Stegostoma tigrinum: one gene and its partners. The protein of the gene in region 1 binds, or shares a complex with, the protein of each later gene. Links are inferred from orthologs where the notes say so. Each region holds a gene or a part of one and is shown on either strand. Other genes may lie near its edges. The genes, in order: gpsm2, protein inscuteable homolog and frmpd4.

What was found.
Region 2: the proteins of gpsm2 (region 1) and protein inscuteable homolog are in contact, whole or in part, in a crystal structure (PDB 3RO3), measured with the Mus musculus proteins. The link is inferred for Stegostoma tigrinum from reciprocal best matches to the Homo sapiens genes GPSM2 and INSC. Residues at the interface, in NP_083798.2 of Mus musculus: Asn210, Tyr213, Leu214, Phe218, Arg242, Ser246, Asn247, Asn250, Ile253, Phe254, Tyr265, Gln283, Tyr286, Ser287, Asn290, Thr291, Thr293, Leu294, Arg323, Trp326, Ser327, Asn330; in XP_006507722.1 of Mus musculus: Val72, Asp73, Ser74, Val75, Arg77, Trp78, Met79, Asp81, Leu82, Lys83, Leu84, Met85, Thr86, Glu87.
Region 3: the proteins of gpsm2 (region 1) and frmpd4 are in contact, whole or in part, in a crystal structure (PDB 4WND), measured with the Homo sapiens proteins. The link is inferred for Stegostoma tigrinum from reciprocal best matches to the Homo sapiens genes GPSM2 and FRMPD4. Residues at the interface, in NP_001307967.1 of Homo sapiens: Leu25, Ala28, Leu29, Glu32, Asp57, Lys59, Thr60, Ser62, Ala63, Ile64, Ser66, Gln67, Asn70, Phe73, Tyr74, His85, Asp88, Ala92, Gly100, Lys103, Asn107, Asn110, Thr111, Lys113, His128, Arg143, Tyr146, Asn147, Asn150, His153; in NP_055543.2 of Homo sapiens: Gln988, Leu989, Leu990, His991, Ser992, His994, Met995, Glu996, Met997, Glu998, Pro999, Glu1000, Thr1001, Met1002, Glu1003, Thr1004, Lys1005, Ser1006, Val1007, Thr1008, Asp1009, Tyr1010, Phe1011, Ser1012.

The regions. Positions count from the first base shown.
Region 1 is NC_081361.1:39,760,273-39,768,306, forward strand, and holds the start of gpsm2 (G-protein-signaling modulator 2), read right to left. Parts: upstream 3,085-8,034; 5' UTR 2,980-3,084; intron 2,250-2,979; exon of another isoform or gene 1,943-2,249; intron 1-1,942. UniProt on the Homo sapiens protein: Plays an important role in mitotic spindle pole organization via its interaction with NUMA1. Required for cortical dynein-dynactin complex recruitment during metaphase. Plays a role in metaphase spindle orientation.
Region 2 is NC_081370.1:31,159,034-31,165,987, reverse strand, and holds the start of protein inscuteable homolog, read right to left. Parts: upstream 3,017-6,954; 5' UTR 2,969-3,016; intron 1-2,968. UniProt on the Homo sapiens protein: May function as an adapter linking the Par3 complex to the GPSM1/GPSM2 complex. Involved in spindle orientation during mitosis. May regulate cell proliferation and differentiation in the developing nervous system.
Region 3 is NC_081365.1:63,271,964-63,279,662, reverse strand, and holds the start of frmpd4 (FERM and PDZ domain-containing protein 4), read right to left. Parts: upstream 3,079-7,699; 5' UTR 2,573-3,078; coding exon 2,532-2,572; intron 1-2,531. UniProt on the Homo sapiens protein: Positive regulator of dendritic spine morphogenesis and density. Required for the maintenance of excitatory synaptic transmission. Binds phosphatidylinositol 4,5-bisphosphate.

The DNA of each region.
Region 1 (8,034 bases):
GTTAATGGTTTAGGTCCAGTAGCCCTTCTTCAGAATGGATGGATTGGATTTCAGTAGTCATAGCTAATCTTAACTCCTACTGTCTATTTTGCTATTTCCCCCCCCCGGCCCAACATCCTCTGATCTTAGGCGGGTATAATAAGACAACTGTTTTTGCATATTTGAAGACTGTTGAATAACTCAAACAAGTGCTTGAAAGATTAGTCATTAGTTAATAGGTTACTTGTCCAATCTTATTCTAACATTGAGTCAAATCAAGCTTTCCCTCTGTTTAATAATCGGGAATTAATGACTGAATTTGAGACTTCAGTTTGTCAGTAAAAGTTACCTCTTTTTGATTAGTTATATGCATGTAGTACTGGTGGCTGCCATGTGTTGTCCTTTGGCATATTTTAATTATTGTACACTGTAGATCATGTTGCTGAATAATGTTTAATTGTGTAGCATGATAAATTTCAATTTTAATTCAGACTAGCCAGCAAATGCTAATCTTTAAAAGCAAAACCTGCAAATAGTTATGTGAATGCAAGATGTTTTACCAGAAAGACGGCAAAACAGTTCTGCAGTGTATTATTCCGCTTTAAACTTTCCACATGGTTATATTTGCTGAAAGAAACTACACTATAAAACAGAGATAATAGGAACCGCAGATGCTGGAGAATCCAAGATAACAGTGTGGAACTGGATGAAAAGCTTTTCTGATGAAGGGTCTAGGCCCAAAACATCAGTTTTTGTGCTCTTAAGATCCTGCTTGGCCTGCTGTGTTCATCCAGCTCCACACTTTATTACACTATAAAGCAGTTTGTATCCATGATACCTAATCCTGGATTTAAAATGAAAACAGCTTTGATGAAAACAAAGTACAGCAAAACAGTAAAATCATGGGTTCTAAGTCATAAAAGCCAAGATGCATCACGATAGCATTTACACAGATCTCATTCCTTACAGTGAATAAAGATGATCTATCCCTCATATGCAAATTCAAAAAGAATACAAGGATTCCAATTTACATTTAAATTGCATTTCCACAAAAAGGCTCCTGAGATGCTGCTTGGCCTGCTGTGTTCATCCAGCCTCACATTTGATTATCTTAAAAAAAATCACAATTGATAACAATTTACTGTTGTACTTGGAACAACTGGATTGTTCAGGCTTTGGTGAGGTATTTGATGGGGAGATACAAGGAAATCAGGCAAAGAGGTGCAACAATCCTTAATAGACGGCCTAATTGTCCATATATTCGCAATTTCTGTCCATTTAAATGCGGGGTTCGGGAGGGAAATCGTTCTTACCAGATGTGCAAACTGTCACACTTCAATTTCCTGAACATAATGTGCCCTCTGTTGCCTAAGCTGAAAGAAAATGATACTTTCTATCCATCTGCTTATTTTCCCATTAATAAAAAGCTTAAAGACTGACTGACGTCCAAAAATTTCTTTTCAGTTATTAATTGCTTACCCATGTTCAAATTCTTACAAAATTGTCGCCAACCCCAAATCGACAAGTACTTGGAACTACTAGATATTCCTTCGGATTATAACATGCTTAATTTTGCCAAGGTACTGGCATTGTCGCTAGTTGTGGCTATCCTATCAATTTATGACAGGCATCTGATTTCTTTCATTTTAAAGACACAGGACAAGTTCCAATTTGTCTCCACAATCCTATCGGTTGGTCGTCCTATAGTTCCAGTTCACTAATGAATACCCAATACAAAATTGGGCCACGAAGGAGCAATCCGATTAAAGATTACACCCAAGACGTTTCAAGTGCCGTTGATCTAGATAATTTAATGGAGAGCGACGTAGGCAACAGTCCAGGGTGAAGTCTTAACTAGCATTTAGGGTACCTTTTATTTGTCACTTTTTGAGCAGACAGGGGCATTTCAAACCAACCAAGAGAGCCAAACAAGAAGAAAGAGCGTCTCATTCTTGATACTGACCTGTATGACAAATCTTGTCTCCTGGAGATGGCAGGACACTGGAGTGTTTCGATCAAACTCAGTCAACAAGTTATGTTAAAGACAGATCGCATTCAAGCGCAGCGAGACTCGCTTTGTCTTAATAAATAAAGAAGGCGCTGTGCTTCCAAAGTGGCTAACCTGGAAATCCAATCCTTTCTAAACTCAGTCTCCAAGATGCAGCAGCGTGCCTCTTTCCCCCGAATTTTAATCCTCCCAGTACTGCTCACTGCCAGTCGAATTTCCACCAGTTTCGACAGTTACGCAGCACCTTCCACGAGCTGCCTCAGCATCGGCAGCCGTTACATAAATTAAGCAAATAAGCAAACCCTGCGCTTCTAATGGCTGAAATTTGAATCAGCGTTCGGGCAAGGGGGCGGGGACACGTCGCGGTTGTTATGGTGACGAAAGAACTGCTCCCCGCCCCATTCCCGGCGGCAGGATTTGGGAACACCTATACCACGAAGAACCTCACAGCTGGACATCTTTCGACCCACCCTTCCAGCGCTGACACAGTGAAGTAACGATTTAAATCACACACAGTTCCTTGTTCTTTTCATTCATGCGATTTGTACAACATTGCCTAAACTAGCGCAATCACAAAATAAAAATGTGTTTGCTTGCTTTTTTTTAACTAGGGGCATGCCGCTCAGCGTTAGCACCAGGGACCTGGGTTCGATTCCACCCTGGGGTGACTGTGTGACGCTTTGCACATTCTCCCCGTGTCTGCACGGGTGGGTGTGGGTAGTATGCTCTTCAGACGGTCAGTGTAGACTCAACGGGCCGAATAGCCCATTTTCACACTGTTGGGATTGTGTGTTTCTAGCATACATTGCCCATCCCTAATTGTCCAGACGGCTAACAAACCATATTGCTGTGACTCTACAGTCACGTGTAAAATAAACAAGGTAAGGATGGCGGATCCTAAAAGAACATTGGCAACCCAAATAGATATTTTTACACTTTGGCTGATCATTAGGCTATAATTTTAGATATTTACTGAGTTAAAATTTCACTACCTGTCATGAGGCACTTGAACCCACGTCTTCAGAACATTCAGAGATAGTAGGAACTGCCGATGCTGGAGAATCTGAGATAACAAGGTGTAAAGCGGGATGAGGACAGCAGGCCGAGCAGGAAAGCTGATGTTTCAGGTCTGGACCTTCTTCAGAAATAGGAAGGGGGAGGGGCTCTGAAATAAATAGGGAGATAGGGGAACGCGGATGAAAGGTGCAGATAGGTGGAGAGGAGACGGACAGGTCAAGGAGGCGGGGATGTGGCTGGTGGGTGAGGGTGGGGATTGGGGTGAGAGGAGAGGATAGGTGGGAGAAAAGACAGACGAGCTGGGCTAGTTTTGGGATGAGGTTGGGGGGGGGGTTAGATTTTGAAGCTTGTGAAGTCCACATTGAGACCATTGGACTGCAGGGTTCCCAAGCGAAATATGAGGTGTTGTTCCTGCAAACTTCAGGTGGCATTGTTGTAGCACTGGAGGAGGCCCAGGATGGACATGTTGTCCAAGGAGTGGGAGACAGATTTGAAGTGGTTTGCAAGTGGGAGGTGCAGTCGTTTGTCGCGAACCAAGCATACGTGTTCCAGAAAGCGGTCTCCAAGCCTCTGCTTGGTTTCCCCAATGTAGAGGAGGCTACATTGGGAACCGCACATATAATAGATGTACAGCAGATGTGCAGGTGAACATCTGTTTAATGTGGAAGGTTTTCTTGAGACCTGGGATGGGGATGAGAGGGGAGGTGTAGTACTTCCTGCGGTTGCAGGGATGGTGGGAATGGTGCCGGGGTTATGGGGCCAGTGGGGAGTGTGGAGTGGACAAGGGAGTCACGGAGAAAGCGGCCCCTCTGGAAGGCAGATAAGGGTAGGGAGGGAGAAATGTCCTTGGTAGTGGGGTCAGATTGCAGGTGGCAGAAGTGGCAGAGGATGATGCATTGAATCCAGAGGTTGGTGGGGTGGTATGTCAGGATGAGGGGGATTCTGTTTTTGTTGTTACTGCATGGAGGGGGTGTGAGGAATGCATTGCAGGAAATGTGAAAGATGTGGTCGAGGGCGTTTTCGACCACTGTGGAGGGGAAGTTGTGGTCCTTGAAAAATGAGGACATCTGGGATATCCGGGAGTGGAATGCCTCATCTCGGGATAGGGCGGAGACAAAGGAATTGGGAATAGGGATTGACATTGTTTCAGGAAGGCGAGGGAGAGGTATTCTAGGTAGCTGTGGGAATCGGTAGGCTTTAAATAGATATCGGTTTCCAAGTGGTTTCCAGAGATGAAAACAGAGGGGTCCAGGAAGGAGAGAGATATCGGAGATGGTCTAGGTGAACTTAAGGTTGGGGTTGGAGGTATTAGTAAAGTGGATGAACTGTTTGAGCTCCTCATGGGAGCATGAGGCGGCGCTAATACAGTCAGCGATAAAATGGAGGAAGAGGTGGGGTATGGGGCCAGTGCAACTCTGGAAGACAGACTTCCATGTATTCCTCAAAGAGGCAGGCATAACTTCGGCCCATGTGGGTACCCATGGCCACCTGTTTGTCTGTAGGAAGTGGGCGGAGTTGAAGAAGTGGTTGTTAAGGGTGAGGACGAGTTCCGCTAAGCAGATAAGGGTATCATTGGAGAGGCACTGGTTGGGCCTGAGGGACAGGAAGAAGTGGAGGGCCTTTAGGCCATCTGCATGGGGAATGCAAGAATATAGAGACTGGAGGTACATGGCAAAGATGAGGTGTTGGGGACCAGGGAATTGCAAGTTTTGGAGGAGGTGAAGGGCGAGGGTGGTGTTACTGACATAGGTGGGGAGTTCCTGGACCAGGGGGGAGAAAATGGAGGCGAGATAAGTGGAGATAAGTTTGGTGGGACAGGAGCAGGCAGAGACGATGGGTCAACCAGGGCAGTCAGGTTTATGGATTTTGGGAAGGAGATAGAAACAGGCGGTGTGGGGCTGGGGAACAATGAGGTTGGATGCTGTGGGTGGGAGGTCACTTGAGGTGATGAGGTTGTGGATGGTCTGGAGATGATGTTTTGGTGGTATAGGGTGGGGTCATGATCAAGGGGGCGGTAGAAGGAGGTGTCAGAGAGCAGGTGCCTGGCCTCGGCGATGTAGAGGTCAGTGCGCCATACTACAACTGCACCACCCTTATTCGCGGGTTTTATGGTGAGGTTGGAATTGGAGCGGAGGGCTGCACATTCTGTGGGGGAGAGGTTGGAGTGGGTGAGAGGGGTGGAGAAGTTGAGGTGATTGATGTCTTGATGGCAGTTGGAAATGAAGAAGTCGAGGGATGGTCGGAGGCCTTGGGGTGGTGTCCAAGAGGAAGGGATGTGTTGGAGGCGGGAGAAGGGCTCAGTAGAGGGACTGTTAGGCTCACGACTAAAGAAGCAAGTGCAGTGGCAGCAGAAAACCTGTTCAACTTCCAAGCGTGAGCAATATTCTTTGATGTTAGGGTGGAGGGGAATAAAGGTGAGTCCTTTAGGGAGGACTGACCATTCATCCTTGGTGATGGGAAGGTCTGTGGGGGGGGGATGGTGAAGACCCAACAGGGCTGGGTGCTAGTGTATACTCTGGAGCTGCTGGCTGTGGAGGCGGTGGGTGGAGCAACGTCGGTGTCAGCGGTGGGCAGAGCAGCATCAGAACATCATTCACCTGGTTTCCTTAGGTTACTAATCTAGTGACATGGGCACTATTCCAAGACCTGCCTTAATCATTTACTCTCAGAGATAATGGGAACTGCAGATGCTGGAGAATTCCAAGATAATAAAATGTGAGGCTGGATGAACACAGCAGGCCAAGCAGCATCTCAGGAGCACAAAAGCTGACGTTTCGGGCCTAGACCCTTCATCAGAGAGGGGGATGGGGAGAGGGAACTGGAATAAATAGGGAGAGAGGGGGAGGCGGACCGAAGATGGAGAGTAAAGAAGATAGGTGGAGAGAGTGTAGGTGGGGAGGTAGGGAGGGGATAGGGGAGGTAGGGAGGGGATAGGTCAGTCCAGGGAAGACGGACAGGTCAAGGAGGTGGGATGAGGTTAGTAGGTAGCTGGGGGTGCGGCTTGGGGTGGGAGGAAGGGATGGGTGAGAGGAAGAACCGGTTAGGGAGGCAGAGACAGGTTGGACTGGTTTTGGGATGCAGTGGGTGGGTGGGGGGGAAGAACTGGGCTGGTTTAGGGATGCAGTAGGGGAAGGGGAGATTTTGAAACTGGTGAAGTCCACATTGATACCATATGGCTGCAGGGTTCCCAGGCGGAATATGAGTTGCTGTTCCTGCAACCTTCGGGTGGCATCATTGTGGCACTGCAGGAGGCCCATGATGGACATGTCATCTAGAGAATGGGAGGGGGAGTGGAAATGGTTTGCGACTGGGAGGTGCAGTTGTTTGTTGCGAACTGAGCGGAGGTGTTCTGCAAAGCGGTCCCCAAGCCTCCGCTTGGTTTCCCCAATGTAGAGGAAGCCGCACCGGGTACAGTGGATGCAGTATACCACATTGGCAGATGTGCAGGTGAACCTCTGCTGAATGTGGAATGTCATCTTGGGGCCTGGGATGGGGGTGAGGGAGGAGGTGTGGGGACAAGTGTAGCATTTCCTGCGGTTGCAGGGGAAGGTGCCGGGTATGGTGGGGTTGGAGGGCAGTGTGGAGCGAACAAGGGAGTCACGGAGAGAGTGGTCTCTCCGGAAAGCTGACAGGGGAGGGGATGGAAAAATGTCTTGGGTGGTGGGGTCGGATTGTAAATGGCGGAAGTGTCGGAGGATAATGCGTTGTATCCGGAGGTTGGTAGGGTGGTGTGTGAGAACGAGGGGGATCCTCTTGGGGCGGTTGTGGCGGGGGCGGGGTGTGAGGGATGTGTTGCGGGAAATACGGGAGACGCGGTCAAGGGCGTTCTCGATCACTGTGGGGGGAAAGTTGCGGTCCTTGAAGAACTTGGACATCTGGGATGTGCGGGAGTGGAATGTCTTATCGTGGGAGCAGATGCGGCGGAGGCGGAAGAATTGGGAATAGGGGATGGAATTTTTGCAGGAGGGTGGGTGGGAGGAGGTGTATTCTAGGTAGCTGTGGGAGTCGGTGGGCTTGAAATGGACATCAGTTACAAGCTGGTTGCCTGAGATGGAGACTGAGAGGTCCAGGAAGGTGAGGGATGTGCTGGAGATGGCCCAGGTGAACTGAAGGTTGGGGTGGAAGGTGTTGGTGAAGTGGATGAACTGTTCGAGCTCCTCTGGGGAGCAAGAGGCGGCGCCGATACAGTCATCAATGTACCGGAGGAAGAGGTGGGGTTTGGGGCCCCTGTAGGTGCAGAAGAGGGACTGTTCCACGTAACCTACAAAGAGGCAGGCATAGCTGGGGCCCATGCGGGTGCCCATGGCCACCCCCTTAGTCTGTAGGAAGTGGGAGGAGTCAAAAGAGAAGTTGTTGAGTGTGAGGACGAGTTCAGCTAGGCGGATGAGAGTGTCGGTGGAGGGGGACTGGTCGGGCCTGCGGGACAGGAAGAAGCGGAGGGCCTTGAGGCCATCTCCATGCGGAATGCAGGTGTACAGGGACTGGACGTCCATGGTGAATATGAGGTGTTGGGGGCCAGGGAATTGGAAGTCCTGGAGGAGGTGGAGGGCGTGGGTGGTGTCACGGACGTAGGTGGGGAGTTCCTGGACCAAAGGGGAGAAAATGGAGTCCAGATAGGTGGAGATGAGTTTGGTGGGGCAGGAGCAGGCTGAGACGATGGGTCGACCAGGGCAGGCAGGTTTGTGGATTTTGGGAAGGAGATAGAAACGGGCCGTGCGGGGTTGGGGAACAATGAGGTTGGAGGCTGTGGGTGGGAGGTCCCCTGTGGTGATGAAGTCGTGAATGGTGTTGGAGATGATGGTTTGGTGCTCGGGTGTGGGGTCATGATCGAGGAGGCGGTAGGAGGTGGTGTCGGAGAGTTGGCGTCTGGCCTCGGCGATGTAGAGGTCAGTGCGCCATACTACCACTGCGCCACCCTTGTCTGCGGGTTTGATGGTGAGGTTGGGGTTGGAGCGGAGGGAGCGGAGGGCTGCCCGTTCTGCGGGGGAGAGGTTGGAGTGGGTGAGAGGGGTGGAGAGGTTGAGGCGGTT
Region 2 (6,954 bases), on another chromosome or scaffold:
TTCCAAGGTGAAATATCAGGTGTTGTTCCTTCAGTTTACATTTGGCCTCACTCTGACAGTAGAGGAAGCCAAGGATGGACATATCGCCAGGGGAGTGGGAGGGGGAATTAAAATGGATGGCAATCAGAAGATCGGGTTGGTTGGTGCTTGCAGATCACAGGTGCTCCGTGAACCAGTCCCCAAGTCTACATTTGGTCTCCCCAATATAGAGGAGACCACATCAGGAGCAACGTTTGCAAGATACCAGACCAAGGATTGCGTACAACAAAGAGAATAAGTAATTGACTTGAATGTGAAGCCTGGAGGGGGAGGGATGTTTCCACAATACAAGGTCAATATACAACATTGATTACCGCCACTCCAGGCCATAAATCACCTGATGTCAACTCCTCCCTCTCCAATACCTTGATAAAGGCAAAAATGTACAAGCTATTGGACTGCTAAAGATGAGGTTCCACCGCTGGGGCTGTTCAGGTGGAGTAGTTTAGCACCCACCTGAAAGATTGCGCAGGATTTTTGTGGTCTGCTGTAGCCGATGCAACTTCACTCAGCTAAGCGAGGAAGAATTTTCTGAGGTTAAAGGTGCCAGATACCTCCTCTGACAGGAAGAAGGTGAAGATGATGCTGCTGGGAGGGAATGGACATGGCAGGTATCACATTAATGGTGTTGTAGACAGACTAGTGATAACCTCGTCAGTACCAGCCTCCAGCTCAAGTGAGGCATCACACCACCACAATGGGTTATCATTCTCTGTTGGCTGGGAGCCTGACCTTCTCTTGTGGGCACATGCATTCTGGCTTCATTGTGTTATGCTTTTGCTTCGATGGGTATTTCACGTTATGTTTAAATTTACATTAATGCCATGACATTGCTAATACTGTGCTACTATGTACATGCCAATTTGAAATATTGCACATCTCACTTATGCTAAATCTGCTGCTCAGGCAACATTGTAGTGTCTACGCTAGCAGGACCAGGACATTACTTCTGCATAACACTACACATTCCCGCCAGCTTGGGTACCAGTAGGGGAAAACATTGTAGGCCCTTGACACATACAAGCCCAGACACTAACTCCATTGGATGATTCAGGCATTTGTAATTTGGCATTGATACAAAAACAAAAAGAATGAGTTAATTTCTATACACAGTTCCTTTTCTCGATAAGATTTCAGACATTAGGCAATGATACAGGCAGTTTCCAGGTTGTGAACAGGTTCCATCCTTGAGTCCATTCATCAATTTGTACACATGTCAGCACACAATGCAAATAATGTAACATAGCTGATTGTGAGTATGAGGAATTCTTCGTATGCCAGATCTTTAAAATTATTATTAGCACACCACTGCATGGGAACACATTTGTAAGTGTTAATGCGCATAGATTGAACATTCGTAAAGGATGTCCAGTTATTCGTGCTCCAATAGCGACTGGAGGCATCCTCACTGTGTTACTGTCAGATTCAGGTCTCTCTATTGCCACATGCACAGTCCTGTGCCCACCAGCGCATTCAATGGCCTCCTCTTCAAAGTGGGCTAGGATCCTTAAATCATTTGGCTCTCCTCCAGTCTTGTACTCCAGTTATGAACCCTTTTCTTCAGCAGACAGGCAATCCCAATATATTGGAAATATATTATCATTCCTTCACTGTCACTTGGTCAAAATTCTGGAACTCCCTTGCTAAGGACTTTGTGAGTCAACCCGTAGCACAGAGCTGCGGAGGTTCAGAAAACAGCTCAACACCACATTCTTAAGGGCAACTAAGAATAGGCAATAAATTCTTACCAGCCTGTAACACCCACACTCCACAAGTGAATAAAAAAAGCATTCATAAATACTTTATAGGTATGCATGTCTACGAGTTCTAGATCCCTCTCCAATTATTGTTTGATACCCACACTGCCATGTATTTTATACAAAATTCACAGCATGAACTGACTACCACACATTCAGCCTGCAAATTCCACCTAATGCCTATGCTTGAAACACAAATTCATGTCTGACAGCTCTCTGCACTCGCACATTACACAATTTGATTTTCTTTCAAGTGTCACTTTCCAATGATTACACATTATACATGTGTGTCAATTGCAGCAGATCATTCTTCCTTTTTCAGTTTGGGACCTTGGTACTTTTGTATGCCAAGCTGGTGCTGACAAGCACTGCTAACTCAGCCTGGGCCTGCGTCTGATGGGATGACCTCCTGCTGCTGTCCCTGGGAAACAGGACCTTGTGCCCTTCCTGGACAGCCTGGAGAAATTTGCAGGATGACATCGCTCCAATTAACAACCTCACCACTACCAGAAGATTCTCCCAATATTACAAGTTACCATATACAATGCAATGGAAATGTACGGATGCCCCCTCCTGCCCCCAGCCCACCAACTCTAAGGGGGAATTAATAACTGGAAATAACCAATGTTCTGTCACAAAACAAACACACTACAGAAAGTAAATAGTAGGAACTGCCGATGCTGGAGAATCTGAGATAACATGGTGTGAAGCTGGATGAACACAGCAGGCCAAGCAGCATCAGAGGAGCAGGAAAGTTTGACGTTTCAGGTCGAGACGCTTCTTCAGAAATGGGGGAGGGGAAGGGAATTCTGAAATAAATAGGTAGACAGGGGGAGGAGGATAGAAGATGGATAAAGGAGAAGATAGGGTGAGAGGCCTCGACCCGAAACATCAAACTTTTATGCTCCTCTGAAGCTGCTTGGCCTGCTGTGTTCATCCAGCTTCACACCGTGTTATCTCATACTACAGAAAGAATTTTGGATTACGAATGCTCTAAAATTATAACCAACTTTCTCAGGGAGGAAATTTTCTTTTGTCTATGGCATGCATGATGTATTAACTGATAGAATACAACATTGTATGCAAAGACACCAGTTGATTTGACATGACAATGCGAACATAACAGAAAAACCAACCGTGCAGTAAACAGTCCTCCCCAAAAACAAACTTACCCAGGAATAAATTAAAATTCAGAACTGAATCAGAGTTCTTTGCGGTTGTCTGTGCTCCCACACCTCCTCTGAAATACCCCTGCTGTTTGCTTTCCCAACGAAACAAAAGCCTGTGCAAACTAAGAAAGAAGACAAGTTTCATCTGGAAATAAAACTCGTTTCAGGCTTCTGAAGGGATGTGAGGACTTCAAATTTTCACCAACCACTACATCAATTTTATTTATTCTCTTCCCACTGAAGTGCCTCTGCACTCTAGCCGAGACTCAGATTTTTTGTTTTGGATAAGAGACCACATCATCCTGTCAGAGAAACAGTGCATAGCTTTAACTGGGCTTCAGTCCAAACAGACAGAGAACCATTCTATTTGTGTCTGCTGTTATAGCAGAAAAGTTCAAAAAGATTTTCCCATGAAATCCTAGATAGTTATAGGTGTTGGTTAACAGCGGGTGCATTCAGAAGATTAGATTATTTAATGAGTTTTACAACTTCAAAATAGAGAATTCAACTGCATTAATATGTCACGAGGTTATGTTTCCGCATAATTATGTTGAAAGAAACCTTTGTACAAAAAAAACGATATTCCAGGAAATACTTTGAAAAGGAATATGAAGATATGTTCAGTAATGTTTTACCACAAGAAACAAATCCAAACTGTACAAAGATGAATGATGGAAATAAAAGCAGAAATTGCTGGAGAAACTCAGCAGCTCTGTAAGCATTTGAGGACAGTAGAACAGTTGATGGTTTGAGTCCAATATGACTCTCCTTTTGATCTGGAGAAGTCATATCAGACTGAAAACATTAACTCTGGTTCTCTCTTCACAGATGTTACCAGACTTGCTGACTTTCTCCAGCACATTCTGACTTTATTTCAGATTTCTAACATCTGAGGTAATATGCTTTAATATTAGAAATCTCAATTAAAGAAACACAAAACCATATCCACAAACACACATTATTCTCTGAGACATTGCTTTCATCTTGATTTTTGTGCACAGAGGTTGAGCAGTTCGACTATTCCTGGAATGTTATTTTGAAGTCAGGTACTTACTCTTGAAGTTACAATGTTGTCAGTTGTGAATTGATGTCTGTTCAAGTTTTCCACAGAAATTTGTGAATGTTTTCCTGTCTCACAATTTCCAAAGTTAGATTAAACACTGCTCATGAAAACTTATTGATGTTTTTCCGAATACTTCAGAGAACTGGACGAAGGTCAATTATTTAATTTAGTGGTACCAGTGAAATTAAGCCCTACACTTACTTAATCGTGAAGGGTCATCAGCATTGCATTTTAGTCGGCACATCTCATTTGTCAGAACGGTGGCTCAGTGGTTAGCACTGCAGCCTCACAGCGTCAGGGACCAGGGTACGATTCCAGCCTTGTGTAACTGTCTGTGTGGAGTTTGCACATTCTCCCCGTGTCTGCGTGGGTTTCCTCCGGGTGCTCCAGTTTCCTCCCACAGTCCAAAGATGTGCAGGCTAGGTGGATAGGCCATGCTAAATTGCCCATAGCGTTCAGGGGTGTGTGGGTTCTCGGGGGATGAGGATGACCCTGCGTGGGATGCTCTAAGGGGCGGTGTGGACTTGTTGGGCCGAAGGGCCTGCTTCCACACTGTAGGGAATCTAATCTAATCTAATCTAAACGTATACTGGAAATTCAGATGCACAATCACCTGTTCACGGCAATGAAGAATGGACAAAACATTTTCCAGTGATGCTCATATTCCAAATACAATTTATAAAAAAAAGTTTGATTTTTTGACCTTTCAAATGGCCATTGAAATAACTCCACAGAGGGCAGTATCCTGTCAGCAAGTCACCCTTTATTTACAAGTGGAGAGCCATTCACACTGATCCAGCTTCCTCAGTGCCACTCTCAGTGTGAACAGGATATCTGATAGAAGATAAGATAACAAGGTGTAGAGCTGGATGAACACAGCAGGCCAACCACTGTCAGAGGAGCAGGAAAACTGACGTTTCGGGCCTAGACCCTTCTTCAGAAAATATCTGATAGTCCTGTTTATATCTTTCATCAGGGCTCTGTCATTGGACCAGATTAACAGCCTGAATCAGGGAACTCATATTCTATGAGTTCCACCTGGCTGGTCTTGTTACAATCACTACAACCCTCCCCTCCGCGCTAGAGGATGTACACAAGTGTTTTTATCTGTAGCTCCTCCTGAGGCATTTTAGCATTGGATCAGTGTCCTCCAACTCTGTCTCAGATATGTGTGGTGTATAATGCACAGAAGCTTGCCTCTTGTGCCCAGAGCGCCTTGAAAGGAAATCTTTCTCTTCTTCAGGCTGCAAAGTCATTGAGGCCGCAACATTCAACATGGCCATCTCAGATTCTGAGTATCTTCAACGCTTGATGGACAGGGAGAACCTATGGGTTTCAACAGCCTTTCCAACTGTTCCAAGGAGTCGGGCACCTTTTGCTCCTACACCGTTTGTGAGTTTGCAGCTTTCATTTGGTCCATGTGCTCGTTCAGAAACCCAAACTTTATATGTCACGAGATCTGAACTTGCATCGACCAAGCCTCTTACCCGTGCAGCACCATTCCGGTGATTCCTATATAAAACTCCATCCCTCGAAGTAAACTGTCTCTCGCACTTGACGGATTCTTGCCTCCAGCATTAGTATACAGTTTCATCTTACCCCCCCCCCCCCCGCCAAATTCCAGGAAGATCCAATTTAACCAGGTATGGAGCCTTCTCTGCTGGGAGCTATTCCTAAAGCTGAATGAGGGGTAATCCATAGTCAAATAGGGACTGGACAGTTTGGTATCCAGTGAAGCTGTAGGCTGCTTCCTTCGGCCTGCCTTCAAAATTTAGACTGCTCTTTCTGCCAGACTATTGGATGATCAATGGTATAAAGCTATCATTATATGTCAAATGCCATTCACCTTTAGGAAATATGAAGAGCGAAGATAAAAAAGAACAATACAGCACAGGAACAGGCCCTTCAGCCCTCCAAGCCTGCGTCAACACATATTGCCTTTCCATATTAAAACTGTCTTCACTTCCAGGATCTGTATCCCGCTCTTCCCTTCCTATTCGTGTATTCATTCAGGTGCTTCTTGACTGTGTCTGTTTCCACCACCCCTCTAGCAACACGTTCCAGGCACTCGTTACCCTTTGTGTTTAAAATGTGCCTCGCACATCTCTTTCAAACTTCCCCCCTGCACCTTGAGTCTGTGTCCCCTAGTAATTGACCTCTCCACCCTGGAAAAAAAGTTCATACTTTCCACTCTATCCATGCCATTCACAACCCTATGAATTTCCTCAGGTTGCCCCTCAGCCTCCTGCATTCCGCTGAAAACTAACCCAGTCCGTCCAATCTTTCTTCATAGCTAAAATCCCCCTTACCAGGCAACATCCTGGTAAGTCTTTTCTGTACCCTCTCCAAAGCATCTACATCCTTCTGGCAGTGTGGTGAGCTGAACTGTACACGATGTTCCAAGTATAGCCGAACTAAGGTTCTATAAAGCTGCAGCATAACTTGCCTGTCCTTGCCCCTTCCAATGAAGGCAAGCAAAGCATATACGTTTTTTAGTAACTTATCTACCTGTGCTGCTACTTCAGTGATCTGTGGAATTCAACACCTAGATCTCTCTGCATATCAATATTCCTAAGGCTTCTGCCATTCACTGTATAATTTCCACCTGTGTGTGACTTTCCAAAATGCACCACCTCACATTTGTTCGGATTAAACTCCATCTGCCATTTTACTGCCTGTGCCTCCAATTGACTTTTATCCTGCTATTCTTCTGACAACCCTCCTCACTATCCATAATTCCATGAATCTTTGTATTGTGTGAAAATTTACTAATTTGACCAGTTACATTTGCCTCCAAATCATTTGTGTAGATCACGAAAAACAGAGGTCCCAGTACTAATCCCTGTGGAACACCACAAGCCATAACCCTCTATTCCAAAAAGCAACTGTCCAACACTACCCTCTGTCTCCTATGACTGAGCCAGTA
Region 3 (7,699 bases), on another chromosome or scaffold:
TGCAATTTGAACCCTGTTATAATTTCCATCCAGGCATCTTGCAATGCTTATTTAGTGGAATTGTACTGTTATATAGGAACAGAACCACCCTCCTTGCACTCATGCAGCATCACCTGAACATGAGCAATCATAAAAACTGGGAAAAGAGTTGGACTGTATTATGAAATGGCTGCAGTCTCGAGATTGCACGTTGGATTTCCAGAGCCTTCACGTTTTTCATCTCTTCCCTTTCAAGATCTGTGGACAGATTGAAATGCTTTCCTAAAGCCAGAGGTGTTGTCATTTCCCAATCCAAGGTTTCTTATTGACCACCACATGCTTTACGTTTCACTCGTATGACATTTGCTATTTCTGCCACAGGTGTGTTGTTTGCATATGTCCCAGTGCACTAAAATGACATACAATTGTGAAGATCACCACTGAAAAATAGTGCCCGTAACTGTCTTTGGGTAAAGCTATTTGGTATAAATTGCAACCAATTTGGAAAATTGATACTGCCATTTCCTTTGCAATTCTTCTGTGAATTCTATTAATTTGAAGGATTATTTTCTTAATGCAGAACTGTACAGCAGAACGCAGATTTTCTAAAACATACAAAGTTATTAAATTTTTCAGGTATTGATTTTTGACAAACTTAGTGTCGTAACGGTTTCTCAGTCAATACGAATGCCTCAGCTCTGAAAGCATGGAGCGCATAGCGACTGTTATTAGACCTCAAAACTGAATAACACCACCCAATCAAGTTTATGGTGTATAATCATTTACAACTGATTCTATCAGTAAGCAGTTTCAAGGTGACAGCAAGAACTTAAGACTTCACTATATTCTCAGTTAGATAACAAAAGAGCAAATTTTGAAAGCACATGGGAAATTAATCAGCATTGAAGGAAGACTGATTAACTTTCATGTCATGTTGAAAGGCCTTATCAGAAACACAAACCTATCTTGTCTCATGTAGATTCTAAGCCAACAATCTGTTATTTTGCAACATTTATTGCTTTCCTTAATCACATATTTCAAATCTTCAGGATTTGTGAGGGCTTTTTTAAAATCTCGATGTAAATGTATTTCCTTCCTTCCAGGAATCCATCGAGGTTTCTTTGTACAAACAAGCAAATATTTTTCTATTCTTTCATGTATTGCAATACAAAACAATATTTTGGTCATGAACCATATGTTCTGCAGACTGGTGGACAGATCCCAATAGTAACAAATACTGATAATACCCAGGTCTTCATGTGCCCAGTGAGTAAACTGTACTTCACATTTGTTTAATTCTACTTCAGGAACTTAAGTGTTGGAAAGTTGCAGACAGAGATTTTCCATAGAATTGCATATGTTCAGTGCTCAGAGAATTCCAAAGCAGATTCAAATGATTCACAATAACTGAAAACTTGATTAGTCGATTTATTTTTCATATCCTTCCTGCCTAAGAAATACCATGCAACGTGTATTTTTCATTGTTATTTTAAAATATCCATAAGTTGTGAATTTGCCGTTTTACGAAGTCACTTAATATAATTTGAGAGACAAAGTTGATCCCTACAGTGAAACCCATTACATCGAAATGCAGGGGAAAAGCTGGCGTTGGAAGGTATCTTCTCATTTGCGTGATCAAACCTGAAGAATTTCTGACAGATTATAATTAACAGTAAACTAAAGATCATCCAGCAAAGGCGCGTGCAGTGACATTTCTTTAAAACGAGTGCCTGTTTGTAGGGTGTACACCAGCGGAGAGAATGTTTGTATGTTGTTGAGAGAGGAGGGGTAATGAGAATTATCCACAGACACACAGTGCCATTGCTTAATGCGAGCCCAAACTCCCTCGCACCCAACAATTAAAGTGTCAGGAATATCTGCTGGTTTACATCAAAATAAATGCCAGACTCAGAAACATCAGCCGAATTAAAACTGACATTTGCTCATGTACCCATCAGACACAAATACGACCATCTGAGCATTATTCAACACCGGAGCATATCAAACAAGTAGCTTTGGCGACGCTAAAAATGAATTCAACTTTTTTTCGACCAGGGCATCAGCGATAAAGGACAGTTGATTTATCGTTCTGTTCCCCCCCCCCCCCCACCCCCCACGTAATATTCAGCACACTGGAAAAAAAAGATTCAATATTCTCCCACAGTTGGGAAGACATCGAAGTGTTACTGTTAATAAGCCATCAAACACCGGCTTCAAGACTTCTAAAGATCGAAATTGGCCACTAGTAAAATGTAATGAAATCATTCTCCAATTTTCCACCAAGCTATAATTCTTTTCCCACTTACACACCCTTTTCACTGCATCTCTATTATCCCCGAAGCTCGACAACCTATCTGCCTGTAACCATTACACTAAGACAGCGTTAGTCATAGGGAGTAAAAATGCTGCTGCTCCTAAAAATGATGCATCGTGTCTTCACGGCTGTCCCTGTTGTGGCTGTACATCCAATCGAGCGGATTCCACGGGACGGGGAGCTTGCAGTCGCTAATGAGCAGTGGACAATATTCAGAGGATGTATGAGGCACGCTTACCTTGACAGCTTTGCGATCTTCACAAAGCTAAACACATCCATGCATGCAGAAAGCTCTTGTGTCCTCACTCCAGCTCCATAATGTATCCTTATTCAAATCGACTGGGGCTACATGGAGAGGAACGGCTTCCCTTTCCTCCTGCTCCGAGATTCACGGGTCCATCCACTCCGGCTTGAGGTAACATTGGCTCTCCCTGAGAGATCCGGCGTTCAGTGCTCACATTCCCCCGCCACCAATTGGCATGCTCCCACTGACCCCTCTTAGCCCCTCAGTCAAATGGCAAGCCACTGGGAGTGGGAGTCTCCGAGGCAGGCAGCAACTCCGAGGATGCACGCAAAATCACTCCTGCTGCTTGCTTGTCTCCTCTCGGGTTTGCTCCAATCACAGCCAACACTTGATGACAAATTAAAGCAAAATCTTTTTTTTGGAGGGGGAAGGGGTGTAGGGGGAGGCAAACGCCGCAGAAGAAGCAAAATAAAACCTAGTGCTCGAAAGGAAAACAGCTCGCTTTAGACAGGTGCGCTATCATTCTGACTCCGACCTGTACAGGCTCTCGCCTGTTAAAATGCACGGGAACATGATGCTCGCTTAAGTTCTTCCCTCACTTCAGCGACTGTTTCCCGTCTGCAAAACTACATATTTCCCACTACACTTAACCCTCGAGAGTTGTTGTGGAAACTGCATATGAATAGATCCTGCTGCTTGGTGAGCACAAGTCAGAATATTTCTCTGCGAGTACACAATGGCAATTTGACCTTTACAATTTAATTGACAGATTCATGAGTTCCGAGAAAAATAACGAAACATTGCAACAAAAGGATAGTTAAAGAAAACACGGTGATAAAGATTTAATTAAACATCAATCTTGCCTAGACAGAAACCTAGTTATCTTTCTATAAAACTAATTCTCAAGGTAACTTCATACAAAAGGGTACACAGTGCACCGGAAGGTTCAAATCTTTATTTACGTTAAACAGAAGCAGCTTACAATTGTTTTATATTAAACATTGCTAAATTCAAATCCTTTCTTCATTTTAAAAACTTGGTTGAAATGACCAGTCACTGTCAAAAGTTTTGTTTTCTTCATTACCCGGGCTGACACCTGTTCTAAGTTTCTAAAAGTTGTTATCTCACAAACAGAGGATTTAAGATACCTCAGAATTCTCAAAGACTGGCATACCATCTCAATGTATATTAAATATGTTGCTGCAATTAAAGGATGCCAAATGTCTGCAAGATCGTAAGTGTGTGATGAACAAAGAAAAGGAGCCAATATGAGCCCCTCCAGCTAACTTCTATCCAATAAGATCATGGCTGATCCATGTTTTTTTTTCAAATTTTACATTCCCTGATAAATTTTGATTCCCTTGACTAACAAGAATCTGTCTACCTCCACCTTGATTTTATTCAACAAGCCCACCTCCATTCTCCTCAGATGCCAAGAATTCCAAAGCCACACAACCCTGAGAGAAAAGGAATCTCTCCGCAGCCTTATCCAAAAAGGGTGCCCCCAATTTTAAAACTGCCTCACAAAAGGTCACATTCTTTCCATTGGCCACTTGTCTACACCATTCGGGATTCTATACACTTCATTCATATCACCCCTCACTCTTTCAAACTCCAATAGAAACAAGTCCAGTCACTGCCCAACCTATTCTCAATCCACTCATTCCATCATTCAAGCTAATAATTTTTCCCTGAACTGCCTCCAATGCAGTTGCTTCCCTGCCTAATTAAGGTTAGCAATACTGCACGTCACCAATACCCTGTGCAACTAAAGCACAACATCCTCACTATTACGTTCAATTCCTCTCATAACAAAGGATAGCATCAGCCTTCTTGACTGCATGCTGTTCCCACATACCATTGACTCATACACAAGAACACCCAAGTTCCTCTGAGCCTTGGAATTCTGCAATCATTCTCCATTTAATTGTTTATATTTTAACTGTTCTTGCCAAAATGAACTTAATATTTGCCCTCATTATACTGCATCACCAGATTTTTGTACACTTACTCATCCTACCTATATCCAACCACAACCTCACGTCTTCTTCACAACATACTTCCCAACTATCATATGGTGATCTTTGTATTTAGCTACTATGCCATTGCTCCCATCATTGATACAGGTTTTAAAAAGTTGAGGGCCCAGCACAAACACTTGTGGGACTATACTGATCATATTCTACTGATGGGTCAAAGGTCCATTTATATAAACTCTCTGGTTTAATAAGGCCATTAGATGCAGAAGCAGGCAATAGACCCATTGAGTCTGTTTCATTATTCAGTGAGATTATGGCTGACCCGACCATTTTCAGCCAGGATCGCAGCCAATTCTGCAAGCGTCTGATCTTCTACAAAGCTACTATATTAATTCCTATGAGCATTTATATTCCACAAGTACAATATTCCTCCAATCACAGGAACACCACTTGGGATTACATATCATTCTCCAGTTAGACGAAGTTTGGGATAGAAATGGAGTTGCAGTTCTCCGAGAAAATACATTACAGAGACCAGAATTAACCCACATGGGAAAGCTAGGTTCCTTTCCCTCCACTGTACAACTCCCTGTATAGTCAGAAACTCAACCTTTTATTTTTGCTCCTGAAATGAATCAGTCAGTGACCAATTAATGTCAATGCACATTCCTCCAGGATTGGAGGCCAGACTGTCAAAACTGGAAAAATTAATGGGAGTAATTTTCAGTGAACATGCCTGGCTTCCTGATTTTTCATTGACCTTCCTATGTTAGTCCTTATTGTGTGGGTTACATTAAGAATTCATCAATTAGCCGCTGCACTACTGATGCAGGACCTCTGCCAGGATTTTTTTACATGTGTAAACAACCGTGCCTGCCACTGAACATGTCTGTGCTTTAACCTGAGATTGCTGCCAATTTACAACAGATAGAATTACTCTGGATCATTAACTATGGCCAGTTATTTTTGGATCAACTGATGTTTGGGCAACCACATATTAAAACTCACCTGGAAGTCTGCTTCCAGTTTCTCTCAAGTTGTGTGGTGAATACACACACTTTGTAATTTTATTGGGACCAATTTGATACATTAGTCCATTCATCATGAATCATCCACATTGCTCTTCTGGCTGAAGGTAGATGCAAAGTTCTTCAGCCTTGTTCCACAGTTGAGGAGTAGAGCCTTATCCTCTGTTACTTAGAAAATTGCCCATCCCTGTTCACACCTAGTTGTGGGAGAACTGCAAATTTTAAATCTGACCATTTGGATGACTTACGTCTGCTTCTGTTCATTGGCAAATAAGTAATTCTGTTTCAGATTCCCACCAGGTTTATACTTTGTTTTCAGGTATGCCTGGTGCTATTTCTGACAAGGCCTCAATCAGTCTTTTTTGAACCAGAGTTAATCCTCAATTTGATGGTAACAGTAGATTAAGGAATATGCTGGGCCATGGAATTGTGATTGAACTCTGCTGATGGCTCATCACGTTTCACAGATGTACTGCTTTGAACTGTCAAGATCTGTTGAAAGTCTGTCCCAGTTAGCATGGCACAACACAATGAAGAGTATCCAAAATGTGAAGATGGGCTTTATGCCCAGACAGATTGCATGATGGGCGTCATACCAATTCTATCAATGGCCCATGCATCTGAAACAGTTTTAGCCATGTTAATGAGGCCAGGTAGGATTTTTCTTTCTCCTTGTTAATTCACCTACCACTTGCTGTAAATGCAGTCTAGCTTCTATGACCTTCAGAACTCAAAGCCTAGTCAATAGTGGAGCCACTAAGTTAAGGATCAGACCAAAACCTCCTTCTAACTATTCAGAAGGTAGTTAAGACCCTAGCTTTTTCTTATTTTAAAGGTAAATGTAAGGTGTTCATTCCAGATGCAATTTGATTGGTTAAACCACCAGATTTAAAATAGAACACCCTTTATTCATGCACTATAGTAAAAATACACGAGAGAGGACGAATTGGATCAACAACTCTCCTAGAAAATTTAACAGAACAGTAGATACAGTAACTATTAATAATTACCTGTTCCATTATAGTAATACCCCATAAACACACCCTTAACAAAATGCAAATTCAGAAGACAGATTGTCTCACATTCAATCCTATCAGCAAGAAAGAGCTACATGCAGCAGCGCCCCAGAGAGAGACGTCTTTTCCTTCCACAATTTCAGTTCACACCTACTAAATAAAGCAAAACCTGCAAAATCCTGGGCATGTATGTCTCGACGGCGTGTACTTCTATTGTTCCAACTTTTGGAGAACACCCAACGCTTCACAAATTGTTTAACGCCACTGACTGCTTAACACCTATTCCTGCAACTTCTGTCTAAAAGAAACCAGGACAAAACACACCTCTTAAAGCCACAAGCAGAGTACATTCTGGAGCATGCCCAGTCTCAGTGCTTCTTTCCAAATTGTATTCAACATGAAAAAGTACTGGTTCACCAGCTGACAGGGGTTAGTCAGTGGTTATCAGCAGGATGTTACCTTGCCCATATTTGACTTGATGCTGTGAGATTCATGGTGTTTGGCTACTTGCTGACACTAGTTCAGAACATACACAGATTTGGCTGTGGTTGAGTCTGGGGCTTGGTATTTCAACGATTGTCAGTGATTCAATGCACATCTCAGATTGTTGCTTTAAGTCAATTGTGGTAATGCTCTGTTGAACTTGGCACAAGCCTGAGGTGGATTTGTTACTCTCATTTACAATGCCTTTGTCAATGTTTGGTGGTCTCACTTTGTTTTATTCATTTTGACTTTGTGGTGATACATTACAACTGAGCGAGTTACTAGGCCATTTCAGAGGGCTTTTGGGAATCTGAAAAACTGCTGGGAATCTGGAGACACATGCAGCCAGATTGGACAAGAACAGCTGATTTCCTTCTAATGGCAGTCATTGAAAACTCATCTGGCCACTAATCACAATCACCAATGGCTTCATGATCATTGTTATTGAGGCCCACACACGTAGAGCGACATTGGTGCCAAATGCAGAGGCTTGGTGCTCTTGGTCACCTATTGTATTTGTGATCAAGGAGTGGGATGGATGTACTCAGGTGGAAGTGGCTCTACTGTGCCCAGGTCATGGGCAGATTGGATGTGCCCGATTTCAAAGTGTGCCAACAGAAGCATCATGATCTGTGATTTCTGTCCCTTGCCCTGAT